Elephas maximus indicus: one gene and its partner. The protein of the gene in region 1 purifies or fractionates together with the protein of each later gene. This does not show direct contact. Links are inferred from orthologs where the notes say so. Each region holds a gene or a part of one and is shown on either strand. Other genes may lie near its edges. The genes, in order: NUFIP1 and ZNHIT6.

Region 1 (10,223 bases):
AGCTGCACCGGTCTCTTCCAAAGGGGTGTGGAGCTATCTCAGCTCCTGTGGCCTTGGTCTCTCTTCTTCTTTTGTTCTCTTGAGAAATGGCCTCCAGCCTGCAAACCGACAGGAAAGCTTTCTGGCATTTTTAATCTCCAATTCTCTTTCTTGCTCCCTATCTCAGCCACAGTGGACTTGACAAAACAGTTCTACTAGCTGAGAGATTCTTAGGTAAGTTTTTCAGCCTGTTACAAATATACTGATTAGAGTCCAGATGCCTGATATGCATACCTTTAGTTGAATAAAAAATTTTTTGTAGTTGTTTTGTGACATATAAGACCATCTGTGGACTACGTGCTCAAAACATTAGGTAACCCTGATCTTGCCCATATAAAACCCTCCCATCAACGTTTTAGGGTAGACAGAATTTGAGAGAAATTTAACCCACTCTGTCTCTTGAATACCGGTATTCAATAAAGCCCTCTTACTGCTTACCTCCTCCTGTCTCATTATTGACTTTGCCGCAGGGGGGCCGAACCCACAATTTACAGTAACACAGATTTGCCTAATGCAATATGTTGTCTGATTTCTTGACTGTTGCTTCCATGGGCATTGATTGTGACTCCAAGTACAATGAAATTCTTGACAATTTAATGTATTTTCTCCATTTATCATGATATTGCTTATTGGTTCAGTTCTAAGGATTTTTGTTTTCTTCATGTTGAGGTATAATTCATACTGAAGGCTGTAGGCTTTGATCTTCATTAGTAAGTGCTTCAAGTCCCCTTTGTTTTCAGCAAGCAAGGTTGTATTATCTGTATATCGCAGGTTGTTAATTAGTCTTCCTCCAATTCTGATGTTACATAAAAATTTCTTTTTAAAAGGAAATTTTATAGTTTGTTTAGCCACTTCGATAATATCTTAAAGAAAATTCTTTAGATAAAAACTAACTGAAATTCCAGATACCTTCACAGCTATACATTACTAGAATAAATTTCTCTGTAAAAAGTGAAGTTCGTGATAAGATGCCACGTGAAAAGTTATCTTCCTGTGCTCTATAAATACAGATCTGATATTCCTTTACTGGCTATCTGTTGCAGCCAACTTACACTAGGTTTGCAGGTTGGTTTATCATTTAAGTAAGTGACTGACCTTGCAGTTGGACCAGTGTCATCTTCTTCAGACTCCTGATTTCCTTCTTCGTACAAAGAACTACTGTCCTCATCGCTGTCTGATGAATCCGAACTACTGCTTTTATAATTAGGGGGCAAAGCTGGTCCTGCAACTGAAGAGGATTTATTGCGTACGTCATAACTAACCACGACTGCTCCCATGAACCCTCTAGCTGGCACTTCTCACTCCCTTTCTGCAATTTATAGCACTGGCTGTCTATCATTTGCTATGAACTTTACTATCATTTGCTAATGTTTTATGTACGGTGGTTTTGCCTCCCAATTACATTGTTATTCCAGGAAGGCAGAAATCATGTCTTACATAGTATAACTAGGACATAGTCACAAGAGCTTTGCTAATATTCAAATTTATAAATTTAGCAACAGCATGTAATTTCCCTGACAACATACAATTTTTGTATTCGTTGGTGCACTTGCCAAAAGTCTCATGGTTTTTTTTTTTTTTTTATAGACAGCATATGGTAGACATATTTATGTCAAAGAGTTAACCTGATAATAAATGTACTATTCTGTACCTGAATATATCAAGAATCGAAATGATCTATTCTGGTTTCTGACTAAGAACTACTACTTAAAAAAGTATCCTTACTGGCATCACCATTTTCTTTTCAAGATGACTCTGCAAGCAGAAACAAAATTACAGTGATGCTAGGTTTTACTGTTCACCAACAGAGAGACACAGAAGAGAAAGAGTCACACCAGGAAGGGGATGCCGGGAAAGTGGTAAGGGTCTCGGGCCCCCTCCCAGAGTGACTTAGTCTCACTTTACATCTCAACAAAATGACAAATAACTGCATGATGGATGGTGTCACATAGACACGACTGTCTATGTTGATCCTGACAAGTGATGCTTCAAGTCTATTACCATAGCTTGCCATAGCTCCTAAGCCTGAATATTTTTCAGGATCTCCAAAATATTTCTTAAAAAAAAAAAAAAGGATCCCTGGGCCCTTTCCCCAGATTCCGATTCAACTGGTCTCGAGTGGGACCTGGATATACGATTTTCCCAGGTATGCCACTCATTCAATAGTAATAATGAAAATTTAAAAATAGTAAATATAAGAAAAATAACACGTTTTGAGTTCCTATGTGCTATGTACTCTTTAAGAAATTTAGGTGCATTAATCTACTTACTCCTCACACCAACTTTATTAAGGAGATGTTATTATTTGCATTTTACGGATGAAGAAACTGAGGCACAGAAAGGATAACTAAGTTGTCCATCTTCACACACTAAATAGTGAAGCTGAGATAGTTTGGTATCTGAGCTTTTACCCTTAACTGTTAAACTACTCAACATTCAACAAACAGTTCACACCCATCCTCCAACAAACATTTATGGACTAAACGCTTCTTGAGAAACAAACATAAAAAGAAGCAAATAAGATCAATTCCAGAAAACAGGGATAAGGTAACTGTAGATATGTGGGAGGGTAGCTTTAAAAACAGCAGTCAGGGAAGGAGTCTCTGAGAAGATGGCATTTGAATGGTGACGCGCATGATGAGATGACAGTGGCCATGCGACAGTCTGAGGAAAGAACATTCCAGAGAAAGGAACCAAAACCCACTGCCGTCGAGTCAATTCTGACTCATAGCGACCCTAAAGGACAGAGGAGGACTGCCCTATAGGGTTTCCAAGGCATAATCTTTACAGAAGCAGACTGCTACATCTTTCTCCTGCCTAGTGGCTGGAGGGTTTGAAGAGCTGAGCTTTTGGTTAGCAGCCAAGGGCTTAACCACTGCACCTAGAGAGAGGAACGGCCAGTGTAAAAGTCCTATGGGGGAACAAGCTTGATGTGCTTGAGGGACAAAAATGCCAGTGTGGCTGAAGCAAAGTAAGCAAAGAAGATGAAGGTGCCTGGTACAAAGGGGCTAGCATGTACACTTCGGAGTCAGATTCCTTGGCTTTGAATTCCAGCTCAGCCATGTATTAGCTGTGTGATTTGGATAAGTTATTTAACCTGTGCTATTTTCTTCCTCTCTAAAATGAGGTTGATAATAATTCCAACCTTATATAGTTGTTGTGAAGATTACATAAGCTAAGACATGCATTTAGCACAGTATCTGGCATACACTATGCACTCAAGAAATGCTGTAACAGGCTAGAACAGTTTGGATATTATTTAATTACAACAGGCAGTCATTGGAGGTTTTAAGTAGGGAGAGACATGATCTGAATTACCTTTAAAAAGAAATGCTTGTGGACAATAGACATAGGGGTCAGGAGTAGGGGAGCTGAGTTAGAAGCTAATATAAAGTGGTTAAATTTGCAACAAATTTTGAAGGAAGAGCAAATAGTACCTGCTAGTCATCTGGATGGGAGCGATGAGACAAAAAGAGGAGCTAAGGAAGACTCTTAGGTTCCTGGCATGATTGGCAAGCCAGAGGGATGGTAACACCATTCTCTAATATGGTGAAGGCTAGGAGTGGGAGAAGATTTGGGGGGAAGTCAAGAGCTTTGTTTTCACATCTTAAGTACAAAAGCACACAAAATCGAATCTGTGCTGCTATTAAGTCAGGACAATGGTTACCCTTTGGTTGCAGGGGTGGGTGGAGAGGCAAACAGTAACCGGATAGTGGTCCAAGGGGAGCCTCTATGGCTGCTAATGTTCTATTTCTTGATCCTGATGCTGGTATCACAGGTATCTTCATTTGATGAAATTTTATCAATCTTTAAATTTTTTATATGTATACTTTTTTGTATGTTTACTGTACTTCATAAAAAGGTTTAAAAAATGCAATTTCACCAGAAGCCACAAAAGTTAAAAAAAAAAAAAAAATGGAGAATATTGTTACCAATAAACTTCTTAAAAGCCCAGAATACACTAATGTGAATAAAAGAATAATGTGGAAAAAAATGATATCTGCAGAATTTTAGGGATCTGTTTTAGATGAAACATCTGGGAGGTTATAATGTGAATGGAATTATAGCATAGAGGATTATGTGCTAAAAATGGCCAACTTTGTGCAAGATATTGTGCTTGGTGAAACAGGGAAGTCTTTCAACAAATATCTACCAAAGAGCTTTTATGTGCTAGGCACTGACCTGAGTTGAAGTAAACACTCCTTTCAGGTAGAAGGAGATACACATATGTCTACAGGCACAATGTGTTAAGTGCTTAAAGAATTAAAAAAAATAAAAAAAAGTAAACTGATAAAAGTGAGTCATAATAGAAGTATCTATTTGGGAGATGGTGGTTCGTTTAAAATCAGAAAATACGGTGAACCAGAAACAACATACACATAGGAACCCAGCCACAAAACTTGGTTAACTACATTTTTCTTCAGCCTTAGTTGAATGGAACCTTCCTTGCTAAAAGAAAAATCTATCGCCCTGGAGTTGATTCCGACTCACAGAAACCCTACAGGACAGAGTAGAGCTGCTCCATAGAGTATCCAAGGCTGTAATCTTTACAGAAGCAGGCTGTCACATCGTTCTCCCGCAAAGTGGCTGGTGGCTTTGAACCACTGACCTTTCCATTAGCAGCCAAGCTCTTTAACCACTATGCGACAGGGCATGGCATTTCAATGGCTATAACAGAAATGAGACCTGGAAGGAAAACCTCTAGGTAAAACATGGCCTAGGGGTAATCAAAGCACAAACATTAGATCCAGAAACAGAAAGATGACTCTTTCAGTTTACTTTTCTCCAACTATAGTGCCAATCTCAATCTACTATTTAGAACAAACATAGATATACTTGGAGGAGTCTAAGAAGCATTTCTTTGGCAAGTACCAAATGCCTACTATGTGTTTAGGTTGGAATTCCACAGTGCAGTGGTGGAGACAGATATGCTAACAAATAATTCAAATACAATGCATTAAATATGTGATGGAATTAAGTAGGGAAAACCTATGGGCAAAGAGGAAGGTGTGACAATGCTTGGGAGGGTTTGGAAAGGCTTCATTAAGATGACACCCAAGTTGGAGGTCTTGAAGGATGAGTAGGAATTTGTCAGGTGTGTAACGAAGTGCAGGAGAATAAGGGCAGAAGGAGCCTAGAGCACTGAGGAACTGTACAGAAACGTGGTCTGGCTTGAACACTGAGCGCGCACGCGTGTGTGACATAAAAACAAAATGAGAGGTTAGGAAAACGGGGTTGGGGCTAGAGAGCCAAGAGTCTTCTGGGAAAGCCAAGAGTCTCGTCCTCAGAAGGCAATAAATACGGCACAGAGGTTAGGAGCACAGGCTCCACTGTTCCAATTCGGGCTCCACCACTTACTAGCTGTGTGATCTGGGCACCCGTTGGATCCTTGGTTTCTCTGTTTGTAACATGGGAATGACAATAATTTTTACCTAGTTCCCGAAAGTATTAAATTATTGAACATGTGTCGACCGTTCAGTACAGCGTCCGGCTCATATTAAGCGCTAAATGAAAATACATCATCGTTATGATTACCAGGCCAAAGCTCGCGCAACGCACCCTACTTTCTGAGGAGGCCCCCACGACCACCTCCCTACTGCTAGGGCTTGGGAGGGAAAGTTGGCTGCGCTCACTCCCAGCGGCTCCGTCCTCCCACTCAGGCCTCTCCTCAGAGAGCCAGCCCCGGCCAGAGAGGTGGTGGACAGGCCTGGCGGGCAGGGGACACGCCGCCGCTTACCCGGGCTCGGGTCCCTCTCCTCGTCCTCCGCTGTCCCGCGGGCGTTGAAGCCGGGCGGGAGCGCCGGCCCGATCAGGTCTCTCGCCATCCGCGGTGGCAGGAGCTAATCACGCACACAAATCTGTTCGCGCGGAATGAAACCCACCCAAAAGGCAGCCCGCGATCCGTCACCGATGCCGGAAGTTTTTCCGGCGCTGACAAATGACGTTTCGATTTGTGGTTGGCTGTGCCGTATAATACAAGATAACGGAAGTGACGCTAAAAGCTTGTTCCGCATTCGCCTGCAAGAGTTTCCACCTGGTGGGTCGCATGGCTGAATCCGCGAGCGGTTTCGTGACTCCGTCGGGATGGATTCCACCCCCCGAGTTGACTCCCACGTTGGGGCCTCTGAATAACACTACCCCGATGCGGGACAACTGGATGCTCTGGGCAATGATGCCGCCGCCGCCACCTCCGTCGTCTCATCCTACACCCGGATCAGGGCTTTCCTCGGAGTCACAGCCCTCCCGGGAGGTCCAGGCGCTCCCCGGGGTGCCGCCCCCCTTCGACGCCCAGCTTCTTCCCGGGGCGCAGCCCCCCTTCGACGCCCAGTCCCCTCTTGATTCTCAGCCTCAACTCAACGTCCAGCCTTTCTGGAATTACCAGGCTTCGACATCGTGGTACTGGAGACAGCCTCCTGATGATACTTTTCCTAAGCATCAGAAGTCCCACAACTCTTCTGGTAGGCTGTTTTTCCTTGTGGTATCACCCCTTTCTTCTCTCTCCCATTTCTCCATTTTCTCTCTCTACATCTGGTTCTTCTCTGCACTCTTGGAGTCTGGTCATTAGTGTCCCATACCGTGTACGACTGGTATGTTTTTCCCGCTTGTTCATTTACTGTAGCAGATTTGTATTGAGTTCTCACTATGTACCAGTAACTGGAAACAGCAGTGGACAGAACATACAAAAATCCTTGTTTGTGGAGCGTAACAGCTCCCTAGTGTGGGAAGACAGACAATAATCAAAATATTTACGTTGTGTATTAGAAGATGAAAAGTGTTCTTTTTTTGGAAAGAGGTGAAGCAGTAAAGAATGATAGGTAGAGCGAATTTAAATAGGCTGGTCATAGAAGGCCTCATAAGGAAGGCAACATTTGAGCAAAGACTTCAGGGATCAGAGCCACAGATATATGGGGGGGGGGGGGGAGGCATATAGGCAAGTGCAGAAGCCTTGGGGCAAATGCTGTAAAACAGAATGGATAAGATCAATCTGACTAGAAAGAACAGAATTCGTGGTAGAATTGTAGAAGATGAAGAAAGAGGGCTGACCTTGAAGGGCCTTGTAGACCATTAATGGAACTTTGACTTATACTCTTGTGAGATGGGTAGCCATTGATAGGTTTTGTGGAAAAGAGTGACATGATTTGATTTATGTAGTAGAAGGATTAATCTGGCTGGTGTGATAGGAACTGAGTGTAAGGGAGATTGGCAAGATCGTTAAAATTACCCAAGCGAGAGATAGGACCAGGATAGAGCTCTGGAGGTAATGAGAAGTAGTCAGATTGCAGATATATTTGGAAGGTAGGGCCAACATGATTTGCTAAAGGATTAAATGAGGAGTGTGAGATAAAGAAGAGGCAAGGATGACTTAAGGTATTTTGCCAGACAAAAAAGGAACTGAGATGGGGAAGGATATGGATGGAACAGATTTGGAAGGGTAGGCCAGGAGTTGAGTTTGGAATATGTTAGCGCCAAGAAGAGCTACATGTAGACTGTTAGCTATGAGTCCGTACTTTCAATGGAGATGTGTGTGGCACTATAAATTTGGGCATCATCAGCATATAGATGATATTTAAAGCCATGTGCTAGTTAATTCTGCATGAGGTTCAATTTAGGCTAAGTGGAATTCAAATGTGTACTTAATTGATATCATACTGTATGCCAAATGGTGGAGATATGAGTGGGACTAAGACAGTCCAAAGACAGGTGATAAAGTTTCATAAATACAAATCACAATGCAGTGCGACTGGTGATACCAAACCAAACCCATTGTTGTCGAGTTGATTCCGACGCACAGTGACCCTATAGGGCGGAATAGAGCTGCCCCATAGGGTTTCCAGGGAGTGGCTGGTGGATTCGAACTGCCGACCTTTTGGTTAGCAGCCAAGCCGTTAACCACTGTGCCACCAGGGCTCCTGACTGGTGACAGAGGCACGTAAAAGATGATTTCAGAGTGCAGAGGAAATTGGGGAAAGCTTTTGCAGGAAGTGTCTTAGGAGCTGTGTAGGATCTGGAGGATGTACTTTCTCTGCGGAGGCAAACAGTTGTCAGTACAAGGTGGGCTCTGTAGATTGCAGTGTTCTAGTGTGACTGAGATGGCAGTGATGCCAGTGGTCATGCTAGAAGTCTTACCTCCCATGCAGGGGACCTGGGTTTGATGCCCAGCCAATGAACCTCAAGTGCAAGCAACCACTTGTCTGTCAGTGGAGGTTTGTGTGTTGCTGTGATGCCGATCAGGTTTCAGCTGAGCTTCCAGACTAAGACAGATTAGGAAGAAAGGCCTGGCCATCTACATTCAAAACTCAGCCAGTGAAAACCCTATGGATCACAGTGGCCTGCCGAATCTGCAACCCATTGTGGGGGTGGTGTAGGACTGGACAGCGTTTTGTTCTGTTGTGTACGGGGTTGCCGTGAACGAGGGGTGGGGACAACTCAAAGGCAGCTAACGAGTGTGATTGCATCGGATTATGTAGTGGTGGGGTGCGGGGGCGGGGATGTGTAAGGGAGGGTGAGAAAATGAACTGGAATCTCAATGAAGGACTCAAGGAAGCTATTTGCAGATTTTTGAACAGGGCAGTGACATGATTGGAGACTATTTTTGTGGTGTTGGTCTACAGGGTCAGTTGAAGAGGAAAGGCTTAAGAACTGGAAGACAGTCTAGGAAGTTATAATAGTAATCTAGGTGAAAGATCAGAGTTTCTGAGTTGGATGATGGCAGTGATAATGGAAAGAGGCAGTGGGATTTGAGAGAAGATGTGTTTTACAAGGCTGTGTTTTCTTGATATTAGATTGATGCTGGAATAACTGTATCAGGGATTTCATTTTAATATTTGAAATAACTGCAAGGAATTTCATTTGGTAAGATTATCCATTTCTGTACTTAGAGATACCTAAATCCATTCCACTGCTGTTGAGTTGATTCCGACTCATAGTGACCCCATAGTGTTCCCAAGGCTGTAAATCTGTGGAAGCAGACTGCCACAACTTTCTCCTGAAAAGCTGCTGATGGAGCCTGAGACCAGAAGAACTAGGTGGTGCCCGGCTACAACCAATGACTGCCTTGACAGGGAACACAACAGAGAACCCCTGAGGGAGCAGGACAGCAGTGGGATACAGACCTCAAATTCTGATAAAAAGGGCAGACTTAATGGTCTGATTGAGACTAGAAGGCCCCAGAAGTCATGGTCCCCAGATCTTGTGTTAGCCCAAGACAGGAACCATTCCCAAAGCTAACTCTTCAGACAGGGATTGGACTGGACTATGGGATAGAAAATGATACTGATAAAGAGTGGGCTTCTTGGATCAAGTAGACACATGAGACTCTGTGGGCAGCTCCTGTCTGGAGAAGAGATGAGAGGGCAGAGGGGGTCAGAAGCTGGCAAAATGGACACGAAAATAGAGAGTGGAGGGACGGAGTGTGCTGTCTCATTAGTGAGGGAGAGCAATTAGGAGCGTATAACAAAGTGTATTTAAGTTTTTGTATGAGAGACTGACTTGGTTTGTAAACTTCCACTTAAAGCCAATAAAAATTAAAAAAAAAAAAAAGCCGCTGATTGTTTCGAACCGTCCACCTTTCTGTTAGCAGTTGATTGCTTTGACCACTATGCCACCAGGGCCCCCTAAACCCGTTGCCATCGAGTTGATTCCAACTCATAGCGAGCCTGTAGGACAGAGTAGAACTGCCCTGTAGGTCTTCCAAGGAGCAGCATGTGGATTCGAACTGCCGACCTTTTGATTAGCAGCCATAGCTCTTAACCAGTGTGCCACCAGGGCTCCAGATGCCTAAATAGGGGCATGTAATCTCATCAGTTTTTATTCATTTGAAAAATGTTTATTTGGTAGACTTGTCTTATTTTTGTTAATTTATTTGAATTTGGACTGCTATTCTTCCTAGAAGGACTAGTTTAGCAGAGCTTTTCTTTAGATATTTGTAACTTTTTTAGCAAATAAAATTTTAAACGATTGTGTGGTTCCAAACATTGATAGATCTCTTTGTTTTTTTCAGTTGAACATTCCTTTTTTCCACGAAAATATGATGCAAATGGCAATGATTTCAACTTCCCTCCCAGTAGAAAACAGAAAAAAAAGGTATTTTTTAAGATGTTCTTGAATGTGACACCTTAGTCCCTTTGTCACTTTTTCATGTCGTGCATTTCTCTCATAACTATCTCAGTGTTTTGCATCCATTA
Region 2 (10,355 bases), on another chromosome or scaffold:
TTATTCCATTTTTTAGTGGTTGCTGTTGATATAACAATATTAAGATTTAATTCATCACAAGCTACTTAGAGTTAATACTTCAAATAAAATATAGAAACCTTAAAACAGTCTACCCTCATCCTTTGTGCTATTGTTGTCATATGTAGTACATTTGTATACATTATAAATCCAATAATAAAAAAAAAAAATTTTTTTTTCAGGGTTATAATTTCTTCTTTAAGCATATATATATATATATATATATACATATAATTACAACAAGAAAATTATAAATGTAAATATATTTTTTCCTGTGTATCCTATACACCCATGTTATCATCTGGTGTCATTTCCCTTTAAGAATTTCCTTTACCATTTCTTGTAGCATAGGACTGCTGGTAATGAATTCACTCTAGTTTAGTCTTTATTTCACCTTTATTTTTTAAAGGATATTTTCCCTAGAATGGAATTCTTGGTTGCCATCTTTTTTTTCCTCCATCACTTTGGATATGTGATTCCAGGTCTTCAGACCTACATTATTTGTGATGAGAAATTAGCCATCATTCATGTTGCTGTTCATCTATATGTAATATGTTGTTTTTCTCTCAAAATTTCTCTTTATCCTTGACTTTCAGCGGTTTGACTATCACATACCCAGTTATTGTTTTCTTAATATTTATCCCATTTCATGTTTGTTGAGCTCCAATTTAAAGGGCTCTATATATATATATATTTTATATTATCACAGTATAACATTTTTCTCCTGTAATTTCTTGTTACATTAATTCTCATACAGTAACAACACAAATAGCCAAGTCAAAACATTTCTACACAGAGACAGGTAACCACAAGTCAAAAGTAAAATCTGCAAATTCAGAAATTACACTGTAAAAGTCATTTCCCACTGGCAAAATAGTTTAGCACATTAAAATAAAGCCTAAAACAGACAGAAAAAATTTTTTTTAATTCTATCAACTTCATCTGAAATACACTTTCTATAGAAACAGAGTTACCACAAATCTAATAAATGTAAACTTTAGAGTTCTAAAGCAGCCTTCAAAACGTAACATAAACATGCATTTCTGTCTGTAAAGTCTGCAAAAGTACAATAATTTTTAGTTCTTTTTTCATAAAGAAGACCCCCAAAATTGTACGAGCTTCAGGCCTCATAAGACCTGGCTCTGTCCTTGCTAATATATGTGGTTCTTCCTGTAGGAAGCAAAAAAAAAAATTTTTTTGATTGACGGTTGTGCAATAAACCAAGAAAGAGAATGCTGCTAGTGACACAGAAAATCACTTGAGAATAGGAACAAGGTTTTTGGCAGCAGACACTTCGGCAAACCACATGTCCTGACCAAAATGTATGAGATGTCCCTCACACACAGGGTTAGTATTTTTTATCATATCATTTCGCAAGAATAAGCTAGTCTTTCAACGTATAGTGCCTTGCCCTGTTAAAAATAATAGCTTTTTCTTCATGGTCTATATAGTAATTGACTATGATAGGTATGATGAAGTCATTATCATCTCAGCCTAGGTACATAATTACACAATCTGTGTGCTTTGGATTCAGAGTCCTGGCATAATTCAGTGCCAAGTTAGAAAAGTGGCACCTCTATAGAAAATAGCAATTGATGGGGAATCTGAGCTATAATATAGACCTTACCTAGCAGTGGAATTTTAGGACTCCACACAAATACAAAAAATAATCTCAGTAATAATCATTAAAAATAACTTTCTAGGTATATAGTTCAGGACAAATTTAGAGTTGAAATTTAAGATAACTTCTCACTCCTTGAAGTAAATACCAGAAATCTAGTTTCATGAATAGGGATAAGGAGATCACCATGAACTATTAGAAAATAAAAATTTTATTTGAACTTTATTAACATTACATTCCATTTTTTTCACTTGAGTGTTATCAATTTGTAAAAGAGGGGTCAACCACTTAACTACCAATACTAACACAAGATACTATAGTAAAACCTGTGAAAGCCAAAGCCTGTGTAAAGCAGAAACCTATCAGAGAAGAAAAACTTAAATAATATTTTCCACTAAAATGAGCAACAGAAAAGTAGTAAGACTGCACCCTCTCAAAGGTGGAAAATTTGGGAGATTCAGAAGCACAAGGCAGTTCTGTTGAGTTCTGGCTCTCACAGTTTTCACTGTATATAAAACATCCACAGTTAAAATCATTTTTAAATGTTCCCAAATATTTCCTACATAATTTAACATATCACAGAAAAATAGTATGTCTTTTTCTTTCAAGTCTTCATACAGTGAAAAAAACAAAACAAAACAAAAAAACTTTGTACAAAGCTTAATTAGTATAGACTGGCAAAGTTTTTATGTATGAGTCATAATGAACTCAGTGGCAATAGGTTTAGCAAGTTTTCGATTTAATGGAAGTGAGAAAACAGTAAGAATTTATTCAGCTTGGTTTCAGAACTAGTAAAACTTGCTACTTTTAGGCTTCAGGCATTAAAAAAAAATATATTTAAAAATATTTTTATAAATCTATCTCACACACTTCTCTGCAGCAAATATTATGCCTTCCGTATCAGGTCCTGGTTATCTCTAATGGTAATGACGCAGTTGTGGATCCTTCTAAAGGCTTCTCGATTATGATTGAAGCTCTTGAATCATGATGTATTTGTTGTTTGAAATTATCCTTTTGCCAATAATAGATTCAGCCAAATCTTTGGTCCCCTGCTTAAGAATAATCATGCCCACAATCGACCTGTGGTTCCTTCCATGACCATTTCTGTGCTCCAACCTTGGAACCTCAGCTCAGGAAATTAATCTGGCTCCCTTTTACCTACAGTATGAATAAGTGCAAGCTCCTTTGCATGGCCTAAAAGGTATTGATGAACTGATTAACAGTGAAACTTGTGAACTTGACGGGACTACCTTGTTTTCCAAGTCTCGAAAGTTTTCCACCTTTGACAGGGTGAGCTCTTACCCCTTTTCTATTGCTCGTTTTAGTGGAAAATAGCATTTAAGTTTCCTTCCCTGACAGATTTCTGCCTTACGCAGGTTCTTGTTTTGCAGGTTTTACTGTATTAATGAATATATAGTTATAACTTAGAATTAGTGCTTTAAATTAAACACACACATGCAACCACCACCACCACCTAGGCTGGAGCCAAGGAGGGGAGTGGCCAAGGAATGCTTCTCCAGGGAAGTAGTGCTTGAGTTGCCATCTGAAGGATGAGTAATTGAGATAAGGTTGGAGAGCAGACATGGGCCAGAGTATGAGGGCTCTTTTCAAGGACATAGTAAGGATTTAGTGCTTTATCCTAAAAGCAACAATTAGGCATTGAATGGTTTTAAGGAGGTTACTCACATGATCAGATTTGTGATTTGTAAATATGCTCAGATTGGAGAATGGATTGAAGAGATAAATATTTATTAACTGAATTACCCGAATTATAAGCAAACTAATTATGCTCAGCTAACTGAATATTCACTTTATGTTAATCCCTTCTCATTGAAATTTGAATTTTAATATCATCTTCTACTGCAGCACTGTGCAACAGAGATATAATGTGAGATGCATATGTAATTTAAAATTTTCTCGTAGCCACATTAAAAACAGTAAAAAGAAAGGGGTGAAATTAATTTTAATGTTTTATATAACCCATTATATCCAAAATGCTATCGTTTTGACATATAATCTAATAGATTATTAATAAGATAGTTTACATTCTTTTCTTGTTTTGGAAAAAGCACATCTCGATTCTGATAACTACATTTCAAGTGCTCGATAGGCACTGTGGATAGTGGCTCCCATATCAGACAGTCCAGTTGTAGGATCTTCACCTACTGGCTCCCAAACATGGCTGCATATCGGAGCCACTACACAGAAATACTTGGTTAAAATATAGATTTCCCAGCAGCTCTCTCTATTTTGATTAACTACGTCTAGGGAGAGATCCAAAAACCCATTTTGATCAAGTGCTATGAGTCAGAATCGACTCTACAGCAGTGGCCTTGGTTTGGTTTGTACCAGGTGATGTTGATGAAGCGGTTGATTACTGCATTACCTCAAAGTTGTGAATAAAATGAAACTTTTCAGCATTCTGGGAGAATTTGAGCAACACAATGGGAAACCCAGTGGGAAGATATTTGGGACACACCTCAAACCATTTCAGAACATTCATTACCATACACTATTGCTGAAGGAAACCCTGGTGGCCTAGTGGCTAAGTGCTATGGCTGCTAACTGAAAGGTCGGCAGTTGGACTCCACCAGGCACTCCTTTCAAACTCTATTGGGTTGCTGTGAGTTGGAATCAACTCCATGGCAATCGGTTTGGTTTTGGTTTTATTGCTGAGAAGTTCAATCCGAAAGCTTTCAGTTCCTGAAAAGGAAGCAAACTAACAAAATGGCTGCCTCCCCCCCCAAATACAATCCCGAAAAGGTCATGTAACTGTGAGGAGGAGGATTGATCTCAGAATCTAATTCAGAAGCTCTGAGGAATCCCTAAGAAATGGAAGGGAGTTTGATCCCATTGCGGTGGGAGTCAAAGAAGGACACCAATGGAAGGGTAGGGGTTGGAATGAAGGAATAGAATCTCCGTGCCTTTTTTTTACTCTACACTGCCCTGGTAGGATTACAGCCAACTTCAGTGCAAGATGGGGCATAAAAGCAGCAGCACCTACCAACTCAGCACCTACCCAAGAAGGAAGAGAAATGTCAGGAAAGCCGATAAACATGCATAAAGGTTGGTTTGAAACAGTTCTTCTTTGCCTACTTCTTACCCAGTGGTCTAGCTGGCTACCACAAAGGACGGTAACCAAAAAAAAAAACCAAAACCTATTGCCCTCTAGTGCATTCCGACTCATGGTGACACTATAGGACAGAGTAGAACTGCCCCATAGATTTTCCAAGAAGTGCCTGGTGGATTTGAACTGCCAGCCTTTTGGCTAGCAGCTATAGCACTTAACCACTACCCCACCAGGGCTTCCACTAGCTCTTAGGAATGGCAAATGCAGGGTTACAGAGAGGTAACCTAAGGGGCATGTTCTCCTCATGGGAGTGGAGGGCAGGTTGGGACTTACAGGAGTCCACATTGTGACACCAGAGACTTTCTACCCTGAGGCTTTTTACCGCATCTCCTCCCTATCCCCCTCCCAGACAGACAGACAGACAGACAGACAGACAGACACACACACACACACACACACACACACCTGACCAGAAGAGTCACATTCCAAGTCTTAGCGATTTGATCCTCTTTTTCAAATACACCTGAGAGCTAAGGCTGCTGATACTCCCAAGGGAATATGAGATCACAGGGGAAAACACTGCAACATTTGAGGAGTATAATCCCACAAAACCAAAAAACCAAACCAGTTGCTGTCAATTCCAACTCATGGTAGCCTCATATATTTCAGAGTAGACCTGTGCTCCACAGGGTTTTCAACGGCAGATTTTTTGAAGTAGATCGCCAGGCTTTTTTCTGAGGGGCCTCTGGGTGGACTGGAACCTCCAGGTTTTCGGTTAGCAGCCAAGCTAGTTAATCATTTGCACCACTCAAGGGCCCAGTAATAACAGCCACCATATATTGAGTTTGTGTCAGTCCTTGCTAGATTTCCATGCACAATTTTATTCATTCTTCACAACACTAAGAGATTTGTATTATCATTGCCTATGCTAGCGTATAGTCATCACGGGGACGGCACAAGACTTCGGTTGTGCACGGGTTCGATTGTGCTTGGGGTCGTCATGAGTGGGCAAACTCCATGGCAACTGACAGCAGTGTGTACGTGAAGAAACCGAAGCTCCGAGAATTGTAACATCAGGTGAACCCTCCATTTTTTCACAAGATTAGATTTAATCGTTAATACAGATTAGCGTGGGACTTCACATTTCAAAACTGAAAGGGTGTCGCTTCTTTTCCTTCCCTCAATCTTTGCACAACAGGCGAGGCGAGGGGAGGTGTTCCGCCGATGGAAGGGTTGAGGCGGCCCCGCCCCAGGAATAGGGAGTGGCTAAACCCCGCCCGGGAAGGCGGGAGTTACAGTGGGCGTGGCCTCGCGCTGTTTCTCACAGAGGAGTCGGGGAGGACCTCCAAAGAGCCGTAAAGAGCTCTACCAGTCGTGAAGTGCTGAGGCGCGGGAGCGTTGCTTTACGACGAATTCAGTGATCTCGGCTGCTCCGCCCTGCACGTGTGCTGCTGTCGGTATTTGGATCGGTAATTCATTCCTGGCGTGGAAGCGGCCACATTCGGGACGGAGTGGTAGCAGAGGTCAACATCCGTGAGTTGATGGAGTTTGCTGCTGAAAATGAAGGGACTCCGGGAGGAGATTGCATGAGTGGAGCAGTGGGGGCGCGGCTAAGACCCGGGTCGTGTAGGGAGGAAGTTTTTGCAGGGATGGCGGAGGCCTGCGGTGGAGAGGAGGGGAATGGGCTGACAGGAATGGAGAAAACAAGGGTTGGAGGAGAAGGAAGTGGACAAAGGCAAAAGGACATGCGAGTGGACCTGAAGGTTGTGAAGCAAGAAATAACAGACTGGTCAGAAATAGAAGAATGCAAGTTAGATGCATGGTGGGTGAAGCAAGAGGTGGAGAATGGGCCTGAGGTGAAGGATGAGAAAACGGGCACACTGGAGGTGAAACAGGAGATGGATGCTAGTTTGGTGATAAAAGAAGAAAAGATGGATGAACCAGAGATAAAGGAAGAGAAAGTGAAGGTTAAGGAAGAGGTTATGGACTGGCTAGAAGTGAAGGAAGAGAAGGAGGTTAAATTTGAGATTAAAAAAGAGGAGATGTTGGCTGACCAAAACATAAAAGAGGAGGAAATGATGGATGCATTTTGTGTAAAAGAAGAGAAGGATGTCCTGAAAAAAGAAGTGATGGATGATACAAAGGTGAAGGAAGAGCGTGAGATCAGCCCCCCAGTGAGCTGCAAGAGGAAACTGGCCATGTCAAGGTAGGTTGGGGGGAAATCTGATTGGGGGGAGTAAACCAAAAAAAAAACCAAACCCGTTGCCCTCGTGTGGAGTCGATTCCAACTCGTGGGGACCCTATAGGACAGAACAGAACTACCCCATAGAGGTTCCGAGGAACACTTAATGGATTCGAACTGCCGACCTTTTGGTTAGCTTCTGTAGCTCTTGACCATTAAGCAACCAGGGTTTCCATGAATAAGCAAACAACTGGGAAATATAAAGGTGGCAATTGTTTAGTACTTAATTCAATTTTCCATGTTTAGTGGCAATGTATTTGTGTGGCCAATGCCAAAAATCTGCCCATTCTCATAAGCATGATGGTGAGAATTATGTAATCTGCAGAGAACATTTTAGGCCAACCCTTTCTGCTTCTTGATTAGGCCAGGTTCCATCTGTCTCATAACTTTTGTGGAAGCTCATTACCTCCACCGGGAAAACTCCCCATCCACGCTTCTAAAAATTTTTACTTACTCTTCAGATCTCAGCTCAAATGTCGCTACCTCAGGGAAGCCTTCTTGACCTTCTTCTAACCTCTTACATCCTCCAGTCTTGATTAAAAACTCTGGGACAGCTCTGCTTTGTCCTACAGGGTCGCTATGAGTCAGAATCTACTCGACAGGTTTGGTTTTGGTAATTTCTCTGATAGTTCCACGTACTTTTCTTTCAGGGCATGTATCATAACTTGCAATTATGTACTGCTGAGATATTTGATTAATGCCTATCTCCCCATATAAACTTAAGCCCCACAAAGGCAAGTCACTTTTTTGTTTACTGTTGTATCCTGAACATGCATCACAGTGTTTGGCAGTATATATATATGTGTGTGTCTGTGTGTACATGCACAAAATGAGTCAATTCATTTACAATATAAAAACCACATGTTGAGTCAGGAATAGTGATTTTATTGATAGTTCATCTTTGTAAACAGTTTTTGAAATTACCACTCACGAATTATTGGAGACCTGTTGGAAACAGTTTGTATTGTCTGGTCCTGTGGAGTTCTCTGTTGTATAGAGTGAGGAAATTACCTGTAGGGGATGGAATAATGGTAAGTAGTACAAGTTTGGGTCCGTGGAGCCTGAGTTAGGCACCTGTTACGGGGATATAGAGGAGCAACAATGTTGAATGTTGTCAGTTGTTCAGTAGAATATGTGAGGTTGGTAATAAGTCAGATGGGCAGTGGCCAAGTTAGGAAATGAGAAGTCTGAGGACTGGAAAACCTTAATATGCTCTTAGCTTGGTATTTCTTTCAGAGAGGGTGGAAATGAGGAAAGATCTAATAAAACCAACAATGCTAGATATGATTACGTTACCATTAGACAAAAATGCACTTAAACTCAAGAGTCTAGTTTCTGTATGGGTAGTATGAATATTTATTGCTTTTGATGTGCTTTTTAGTTTCTTTATAGTGTATGATTATGTGACAAGATAGGAAATAAAAGAGTGGTTAGATTCTTGGGAATATTACTATGTAGAACACTGTGGGTCAAATAGAAGTAGCTGTAGTTCGACTGTCAGTACCCCAAGATCTGAGGAGAGCAGTTGAAGACATGTGGTGGGCGGTAGCATTTCTAGATTGTTTTGATGCTCAATCTGGGTTGGGTGTGGAGTAAGGAAAAAAGATGCAACTACTACTTTCTCTAAATTTGACTGGTTTAATATTCTTTTTCTAGTGTGTGTGCTTTTAAAATGTCTACACATAGCTCATGGATTGGGTTTCTGGATTCATACACATCCCATGCACATACACATACACGTATGAGATTATCAGGAAGTAAAAGTTAAAATATCAGTGAGTAATCTCATTCTTTGTGTATAGTAGAAAAAGCAGTAAAAATGAGATTTAAAAATTTTTAATACGTGTTTTCTTGAATTACATATTATTAACAACATTAGAAATGTAAGTGCTATTTGGTTTCAAAGAGGAAAGTTTTCAAACAATGCTTGACAGCTACCAAGTATTTTGTCAGACCTACCCTTGCATATACTCTATTCAGTATGACTACATGTCTGTAAATTGAGTGTGACAGGTAATTGAATCACATTCAAGTTTATAAATAGATAAGTAGAACTGATATTTTATAATTTAATAAATTACATGTTGGCTTTTGTAGGTGTGAAACTTGTGGTACAGAAGAAGCAAAGTACAGATGTCCACGTTGTATGCGATATTCCTGCAGGTATATGTGTAACTACTTACCTTTTTACTTCTATCTGTACCCTGGTGGCATAGTGGTTAAGTGCTAAGGCTGCTAACCAAGAGGTCAGCAGTTCGAATCCGCCAGGTGCTCCTTGGAAACTCCATGGGGCAGTTCTGCTCTGCCCTATAAGGTGGCTATGAGTCATAATCAACTTGACAGCAGTGGGTTTGGTTTGGTTTTTGGGTACACTTCTTACCACAAAGTATAAAAGTACTTCCTCTTTGTCCCTTCAGTTTGCCCTGTGTAAAGAAACACAAAGCGGAATTGACATGTAATGGAGTTCGAGATAAAACTGCGTTTGTTTCAATACAACAGTTTACTGAAATGAATCTTCTAAGTGGTAAGCCATGTTATGTATAACAGATTGATGTTTCCTGGCCATTGGATTAGGTCATTCATTTATTTTTCTATTTTGAAATTTTTAGATTATCGATTTTTGGAAGATGTGGCAAGAACAGCAGACTATATTTCTAGAGACACTTTTTTGAAAAGACCAATAGGAAATAAACATGTAAGTATTTTTTCTAATTGCTTCCAGTTATATGGGGCAGTTCTACTCTGTCCTATAGGGTCGCTATAAGTCAGAATCGACTCGACGGCACTGGGTGTGGGTGGGTTCCAGTTATAATTCCTTTCAATCAGTTAGGCTTATTCTTTTATTCAGTAAATTAAGTGGCTGCCACGATCCAGCACTATTCTAGTTATCTAGGAAGACACTACTGAACAAAATAAAGTCCTTCCCCTCGTGACGGTTGTAATGTAGTGGAGGAGATAGGAGAGATGAGAAGAGAAGCAAATATAATCTCAGAGTTAAGCACCTGCAGAAAATAAAGAAGTCTGTGGAGACAAAGAGAATGACAGTGGTGTGTGTGTGTGTGCTGGGGTTGTTTCAGGGTACTGTTTTGAGAGTAGTCAGGAAAAACTTCCCTGAAGAGGTGATGTTTAAGCAGTGATCTAAATGCGGGGAAAGAGACAGTCATGTGAACATTTCAGGGGAGATTATTCCAGATGGAGACCAGCAAAAGTAAAGTCCCCAAGTCAAGGAGCAAGCTCGGCATGTTTGAGGAATAAGAGGTGACTGAAGCATAGTGAGTGAGGAGAATTTTGAACATGAAGTTAGAGAAACAGATAAGGGCTGTTAATGTACCTTAAGTGAAAATGGAAGCCGTGAGAAGGTTTTGAGTGTTTTTGCTTTTTGAAAGATCTCTCTTGCTGCTATG

Evidence for each region.
Region 2: the proteins of NUFIP1 (region 1) and ZNHIT6 purify together in Homo sapiens (affinity purification with western blotting; 3 studies listed by BioGRID and IntAct, with this or other methods). This does not show direct contact. The link is inferred for Elephas maximus indicus from reciprocal best matches to the Homo sapiens genes NUFIP1 and ZNHIT6.

Annotation. Positions count from the first base shown.
Region 1 is NC_064832.1:35,298,285-35,308,507, forward strand, and holds the start of NUFIP1 (FMR1-interacting protein NUFIP1), read left to right. Parts: upstream 1-6,061; 5' UTR 6,062-6,085; coding exon 6,086-6,497; intron 6,498-10,039; coding exon 10,040-10,122; intron 10,123-10,223. Other genes in the region: GPALPP1 (GPALPP motifs-containing protein 1), read right to left, coding at 1,135-1,267, 5,777-5,864. UniProt on the Homo sapiens protein: Binds RNA.
Region 2 is NC_064821.1:135,199,682-135,210,036, reverse strand, and holds the start of ZNHIT6 (box C/D snoRNA protein 1), read left to right. Parts: upstream 1-6,078; 5' UTR 6,079-6,250; coding exon 6,251-6,915; intron 6,916-9,048; coding exon 9,049-9,114; intron 9,115-9,368; coding exon 9,369-9,475; intron 9,476-9,560; coding exon 9,561-9,646; intron 9,647-10,355. UniProt on the Homo sapiens protein: Required for box C/D snoRNAs accumulation involved in snoRNA processing, snoRNA transport to the nucleolus and ribosome biogenesis.